Linked DNA regions of Saccharomyces cerevisiae S288C. The protein of the gene in region 2 binds, or shares a complex with, the protein of the main gene of each other region. Each region holds a gene or a part of one and is shown on either strand. Other genes may lie near its edges. A codon is read from its position in the direction of its gene.

What was found. The genes of interacting proteins can lie anywhere in the genome.
Region 1: the proteins of ASK1 (region 2) and DAD2 are in contact, whole or in part, in a cryo-EM structure (PDB 8Q84), measured with the Saccharomyces cerevisiae proteins. Residues at the interface, in NP_012872.2 of Saccharomyces cerevisiae: Lys6 (codon at 1,749), Glu7 (codon at 1,746), Thr9 (codon at 1,740), Leu10 (codon at 1,737), Leu13 (codon at 1,728), Asp14 (codon at 1,725), Glu16 (codon at 1,719), Ile17 (codon at 1,716), Asn20 (codon at 1,707), Leu21 (codon at 1,704), Lys23 (codon at 1,698), Ile24 (codon at 1,695), Asn27 (codon at 1,686), Leu28 (codon at 1,683), Phe30 (codon at 1,677), Cys31 (codon at 1,674), Lys34 (codon at 1,665), Ile35 (codon at 1,662), Asp38 (codon at 1,653), Ile39 (codon at 1,650), His42 (codon at 1,641), Tyr46 (codon at 1,629), Ile49 (codon at 1,620), Arg52 (codon at 1,611), Ile53 (codon at 1,608), Ser56 (codon at 1,599), Thr57 (codon at 1,596), Trp59 (codon at 1,590); in NP_013009.1 of Saccharomyces cerevisiae: Ile4 (codon at 1,894), Asp5 (codon at 1,897), Ile8 (codon at 1,906), Lys11 (codon at 1,915), Arg12 (codon at 1,918), Glu14 (codon at 1,924), Leu15 (codon at 1,927), Leu18 (codon at 1,936), Gln19 (codon at 1,939), Ile21 (codon at 1,945), Thr22 (codon at 1,948), Thr25 (codon at 1,957), Asp26 (codon at 1,960), Leu28 (codon at 1,966), Lys29 (codon at 1,969), Leu32 (codon at 1,978), Thr33 (codon at 1,981), Leu35 (codon at 1,987), Asn36 (codon at 1,990), Ile39 (codon at 1,999), Lys40 (codon at 2,002), Met42 (codon at 2,008), Gly43 (codon at 2,011), Ala46 (codon at 2,020), Asp47 (codon at 2,023), Val49 (codon at 2,029), Ala50 (codon at 2,032), Met53 (codon at 2,041), Asn54 (codon at 2,044), Trp56 (codon at 2,050).

What each region holds. Positions count from the first base shown.
Region 1 is NC_001143.9:595,921-598,706, reverse strand, and holds DAD2 (Dad2p), read left to right. Parts: upstream 1-1,884; coding exon 1,885-2,286; downstream 2,287-2,786. Other genes in the region: ribosome dissociation factor GTPase HBS1, read left to right, coding at 1-1,652; NUP133 (Nup133p), read right to left, coding at 2,409-2,786. UniProt on the Saccharomyces cerevisiae protein: Component of the DASH complex that connects microtubules with kinetochores and couples microtubule depolymerisation to chromosome movement; it is involved in retrieving kinetochores to the spindle poles before their re-orientation on the spindle in early mitosis and allows microtubule depolymerization to pull chromosomes apart and resist detachment during anaphase.
Region 2 is NC_001143.9:338,783-342,733, forward strand, and holds ASK1 (Ask1p), read right to left. Parts: upstream 1,765-3,951; coding exon 886-1,764; downstream 1-885. Other genes in the region: MDM35 (Mdm35p), read right to left, coding at 400-660; SFK1 (Sfk1p), read left to right, coding at 2,530-3,591. UniProt on the Saccharomyces cerevisiae protein: Component of the DASH complex that connects microtubules with kinetochores and couples microtubule depolymerisation to chromosome movement; it is involved in retrieving kinetochores to the spindle poles before their re-orientation on the spindle in early mitosis and allows microtubule depolymerization to pull chromosomes apart and resist detachment during anaphase.

The sequences.
Region 1 (2,786 bases), 260 kb from region 2:
ACAACAATTTCGATTTGGAAAGCACGCTGGCGGAATTGAAGAAAACTTTGAAGAAGAAGAAGACACCAAAGAAGCCAATTGCTGCTGCTAATGGGAGTGCGAATGTTACTCAAAAACTGGCAAACATCTCAATTTCGCAACAAAGGCCAAATGATCGGCTTCCAGACTGGCTTGACGAGGAAGAAAGTGAGGGTGAACGCAATGGTGAGGAAGCCAATGATGAAAAGACAGTTCAAAGATACTATAAGACTACGGTGCCAACGAAACCAAAGAAACCTCATGATATTTCTGCATTTGTTAAATCTGCCTTACCTCACTTAAGTTTTGTTGTTCTTGGTCATGTTGATGCGGGAAAATCAACTCTAATGGGCAGACTACTTTATGATCTGAACATTGTCAACCAATCCCAACTGAGAAAGCTACAAAGAGAGAGTGAAACTATGGGTAAGTCATCCTTCAAATTTGCATGGATTATGGATCAGACAAATGAAGAGCGCGAACGTGGTGTAACAGTGTCAATTTGTACATCGCATTTCTCTACCCATAGGGCAAATTTTACTATTGTGGATGCGCCAGGCCATAGAGATTTTGTTCCAAACGCTATAATGGGGATATCACAAGCAGATATGGCTATACTTTGTGTAGACTGTAGCACCAATGCTTTCGAATCAGGATTTGACTTGGATGGGCAAACAAAGGAGCATATGCTACTGGCATCTAGTCTTGGAATTCACAATCTGATTATTGCTATGAATAAGATGGATAATGTTGACTGGTCCCAACAAAGGTTTGAAGAGATTAAATCGAAATTGTTGCCATATCTGGTTGATATTGGGTTTTTTGAGGATAATATTAATTGGGTACCTATCAGTGGCTTTTCCGGAGAAGGTGTTTATAAAATTGAATATACAGATGAAGTGAGACAATGGTACAATGGTCCTAACTTAATGTCTACTTTGGAAAATGCGGCGTTCAAGATTTCAAAGGAGAATGAAGGAATTAACAAAGATGATCCGTTTTTGTTTTCTGTGTTGGAGATCATCCCATCGAAAAAAACAAGTAACGATTTAGCACTAGTTTCAGGAAAATTGGAATCAGGTTCTATTCAACCTGGTGAATCTTTGACAATATATCCGTCGGAACAGAGTTGTATTGTGGATAAAATTCAGGTTGGTTCTCAACAGGGCCAATCAACGAATCACGAAGAGACAGATGTTGCCATTAAGGGTGATTTTGTCACTTTGAAATTGCGCAAAGCCTATCCAGAAGATATTCAAAATGGTGATTTGGCAGCATCAGTTGATTATTCGTCCATTCATTCAGCACAGTGTTTTGTTCTGGAATTGACCACCTTTGACATGAACCGACCTTTGCTGCCAGGAACACCGTTTATTCTTTTCATCGGAGTCAAGGAGCAACCTGCTCGAATCAAAAGATTGATTTCATTTATAGACAAGGGCAATACTGCAAGCAAGAAAAAGATTAGACATCTAGGCTCTAAACAACGAGCATTTGTAGAAATAGAACTAATTGAAGTAAAGAGGTGGATTCCTTTATTAACTGCCCATGAAAATGACCGTTTGGGAAGAGTTGTTCTTAGAAAGGACGGTAGAACCATTGCGGCAGGTAAAATATCCGAAATAACTCAGTAGAAGGGTGAAAATAGATGATAAGAATTTTATACGCTTCTGTATGTAATTTTTTCAATTTCTACACATTAATAGCGATCCTTTTTTAATATTTGAATTTAGTGTAACGCGAAAATAAAAATATGAAAGTACTTACAAAAGGTTAGAGGGCGACAATACAAAAGAATACCTGCCTCTGAATATATCTAAAAAACTATTGAATAGGTTTGAAAAACTCATAATTCAGACAGTTATTATGGATTCAATAGATGAACAAATTGCTATAAAGCGAAAAGAACTTCAGTCATTACAAAAGATAACCAGTTTAACGGATGGCTTAAAAATTCAGCTAACAGAGTTGAATGAGCAGATCAAAGAAATGGGAATGAATGCGGATTCAGTGGCCCAATTGATGAACAATTGGGATTCTATAATAAACAATATATCGCAAGCAAGTTTGGGATTATTGCAATATGCAGAGGGTGATTATGAGATAGGACCGTGGAAAGATTCTAAGAAAAAGGAATCTGAACAATCAAATGAAACAGGTCTTGAAGCGCAAGAAAATGATAAGAATGATGAAGATAATGATGAGGATGAAGATCTGGTACCCTTGCCGGAAACAATGGTCAGAATTAGGGTAGATGGTAACGAATGAACAGAAAGAAAAGGATCTTATATAAATCGGAAGAAGGCAGTTGCGATAATAGCATATACATATTTATTATTATCATTCCCCAGTAAAGTTTATTATATATATGTAAAATTGTATTATAGATATTAGTATTCTACAGTGTTGGTTTCATAGTTGATGGTATAGTTTTTTTCTTTCGCTACAGAACCAATAGTCGAGTGCAACTTTATCTCGAGTGAGTTGTCTGAGTTCAACGTTTCCACTTGAGATATTTCTTCATATATCTCTTCACGTATGGCATTCTGATCAATAGGAAACCTGCCATATGTTTCGCTTATGTATTCTGGCGTCAGTAACGATTTGTCACATAAAAGATCCACACTGGGCAAGGGGAAATCATTATTTTTGGGTAGTTCTTCATCAAAAACACGTTTGACTATATGCTGAAGCAGTTTATCTCCTTCATTACTAGCATTTAGTAGAACGATTCTTCTCCATACCAAAGCATTCAAGAACTTTTTAAC
Region 2 (3,951 bases):
GAGAAAACGACCAAACAAAAATAAATATGTAAGTACTTTATGATGGTGATTTTTTTGGGGTAATTGGTAAGAGTTTTTCTTGTAGCTTCAAAAGATCAAATATAAAATACGAATGTTTCTGAAATTACTGTAAAAGACTTAGGAAAAGGAATGAAACGTTTATATGGGAGAGAACGAAAATTTTTCCTTTTCCCGCCACTACTTTTTGCCACCATTTCCCGTTATTTATTTGGGCGAGTGCTCACCTCCGACGGAATCACGGGTGACGGATATCCTAAAAAGGTAAAGAATTGAAACAGATCTATTAATATACGGATCACTATACATTATTATAAGTCGATATTGCAGTATTAGTATTTACATGTTGAATAATGCACATTCTGTGCTAAAATATATACTTCATTTGTCAACTTCTTTTAGTTTGCCGCCATTTTCAAACGGCGCCTCCTCCCTAGCTTCGTCTAGAGCAGGCTTAATACCTTGTTTGACGAGAGCTGCGTTGACACATGTAGTATAAGCGTACCATTGTTTTGAGCACTCGTTCTCAACGGATTTTCCCTTCAGGAATTTTTCGCTATACCATTCATTAAAACAACTATCGTATTTCGTCTTCAGGTCAGTGCATTCAGGCGCAAAACTAGCTGACATTATATTCCCCATATAAAACTGGTATTATTGTTATTGTAATTCAAGTTAAAACACAAACAGATGTTTTCTAATGACCTCTCCCGGCATATATCTGGCGCACTTAGAATAAATTTCTACATGCAAATACTCTGAATATTCTGAATGTGGCTCTCCCTATATCGAAGAAAAAATATAGCGGGCCCATTACCCTGCGTTCTGATATTCATCACTAGTAAAAATTGTATGTACTTATTTATTCTATCTATTCGTAGAAAAATGAATGATGGTCCCAGGCTTTGGTACTTCTTTCGTACTCTCTTCTTCATCGGGCCCTTCGTTGTTATCATCCGCTTGTCCCTTCGGGTGGTGGTGCCCCTGCTTCAGAGGCGAGCTCTCTATATTATTGCTGTTCTCATCGTCGTTATCGCCGTCGTTATTAATATGTTCTTCATGAGCCAGTTGCTTCCGCATTTTATTGGGCACAATCGGAGACGGTACCATGCTGGAACTAGACCCGTACTGCTGCTGCAAAAGTAGCGAAATCTTTCTTTTGCGGCTTTGTCTCTGTATTGTACTTTCATCTTGCTCATCATCAGCTCCACCATGACCCTCGCCTGTAAGGTCTGTTTGCTCCCTTGAAGGCACCGCCTCTGAACCAGTATCTTCGTCGCTAGAGTCCGGAAGTTTCAATATCTGTCCCGTGGATGTTATATTCGCTGTGTGGAAATCATCTATACTGTCGTTATTAAACATAGAATGGACATCCCGGTTGACATGTACAGCTGAATCTGCCTCGTTAGGCCCATTGTCTGTCTGGGACTGCCTACTCGCCTCTTCAGCGGATGTAGGAAATATACCAACATTATTGCTCACAAGGCTTTTGACTGGAGCGTTTCCCACTGGTGCAGCTGCATTTGCCTGCAAATTCACCAGCCCAGTCTCTTGAAACATAGTCCCCAGCCATTCGGTGCTATCCATGATCCGCTCACATATTTCTGAATATGTAGCCACGTGTGGGATGATGTCCTGGGTGATCTTATGAAAGCAGAAACTCAAGTTAGAGTCTATCTTCTGCAGGTTCACTGTAATTTCTTGATCAAGTTTTTCCAATGTTTCCTCTTTGCTTGCAGAATCCATTTTTTGTGTCAACAATCCCTTATGTTGCTCTTTCCATACGTTGATCAACCTGGCTCTATTCCCACCCCAAACTGTAGATATCTATTTTGTTGATGCCTCAGCTCACCAAAACAAACCAAAAAAACGGAAAAAAAAAACGGAAAAGAACGGAAACAAACGGAAAAGAACGGAAAAGAAAACAGGAAAAACTCGCTGTTCTGTTACCCGCGCGGCACTACCGCATTTAATCGGAGTAGCTACTAATCAAGCAAGGGCCTCCGTTCCTCTATGACGCACCGGACATATCGCATTTCCACTATAATAGTGCAAGTAGGACGGGATAAGGCCCAAGATTATCAATGAAGACTAACACAACGGTCTTGCCAGCCATATCCAACTCTAAACATCTTCCACGGCTGTTCAAAAACGAAGATCTCTTACCCCTCTGCGGCTTAAGGGCTCTGTTCAATTGAAGGATCCGCGGCAGTAAAGTAAATGGATGAAAAAAAAAAACTGGAAAAATAGCAACTTTTTTCAGCCTGGAAGATTTGTCATCTAAGCGAAGGAGAATGAAACCGGAATTTTCACTCCTTCTTAGGGGCATTCAGTTTATAAATATAGTTATTCCCTGAAGTTGAGATTTACTGATTTAACATCTGGACAACTAAAAACCTAAATAATAAGACACAATTTTTTGCGGGATTTTTTTTCCTTTAGATACTTTTAACATTCATAGTAAAAAGTTCTGCTACATAGTAAAAACACATAGAAGGTACAAGCAATAGCATGATTCAATTTAAAAGTCCAGGTAACTGGCTGTTCATAGTACCCTGGATTGCCTTCATTCCATGGTATGGTATGCTGATAGCCATGCTTATTTGCTGGGCCAGTCAAGGCCATCCCATATATTGGTTCATGCACTCGGAGCAATTCCCTGTGTACATTTCAGATATAGGTGCCACTAATTTAAGGCCACTGTTTATATCGTGCGCCGGCTGGCAGGGTCTAGGCTATGTAATCACTGTTGCCCTTGAGTTTTTTCAAAGATCCGGCTATCTGCCTTTCCAACTGAAAAAAAAAGACCCTTCTATCTCTGATTCCACATCTTATGCTGAGAAATTGCACAGCGGTAAATACTTAATGCCTCCATATTACACAAAGGATGAACGGAACCTGATTTTCGCAGCTTTTGTTCTCGGCAGCATTGGTGAACTAGCCCTTTTATTCAGTTCCATCTTCTCAACCGCCCTGTACCATCGCGTTCACATTGCTATGGTCTCTGTTTTCGTCGTCTTCATGTTCCTATCCACTTGCTGCTTGATTGCAGAGTATTTCCTCATGGGAAGGCACTATGCCTCAGTCCACCCCCTAGCCAGCCCTCATTTCAATCCTCAATCATCTGAAAAAAGCTTTAACCAAGATTATAACACTGTGGATGAGCTGCCTTGGTATAAATGGAAAGGCCATGTATGGAATAAATTTACCATCAGTGCAACTCTAAAAGTTATATGGTTAACTCTCGCAGTTGTATGGGCCATTTGTTTTGGTGCTATCAATGATAGATCTAAGAGTGCTTGTTTCGAATGGTTGCTAGCATTTTGGTTTGGTATCATATTTATGATTCTTTCCGCCGACTTTTATTTAGGTGGAAGATACAGACAATCCCGCTATTTCAACCACGTGGAATCATTTTCGGGTTATTACAAGTATGACAAGGCGCTAGGCCTCTACCACAGTGAAGACGTTTTGCCTTCGGACGATAACGCCGGCGTGATTGCCACAGAAACAGCATCTTCAAATATTTACAATAATTCCTCTTCCAACGAATCTATTCAAGTAGTCGTATGACCTCATATATGCTAGACTTGACTAGGAAATACCCTCTAACCTGCAAGATATATTCATCTTTTTCTTTCCAAAGCACAATTTAATAAAACTTGCAAGAACATCGTCATCATTTCCCCCTTTTATTTTTGTTATCCCCGTTACTGATGTAACTAATACCTAATTCTATGCTTCTCAATCTGTATAGTAGTTTTCCTTTTGCCGAAGAATTTCTTCTGGCTGCTTTTTTTTTTGACATATTTCGCATTGTCCACAATGGTCATTGCGTTAAAAGCTAGAAATTAAAAAGAGAATATTGTTCAGCATATGTAGTTTAAGTTGGCAAATTTGTTCTGCTCTTGATGTACCTAGAATAAATAAATA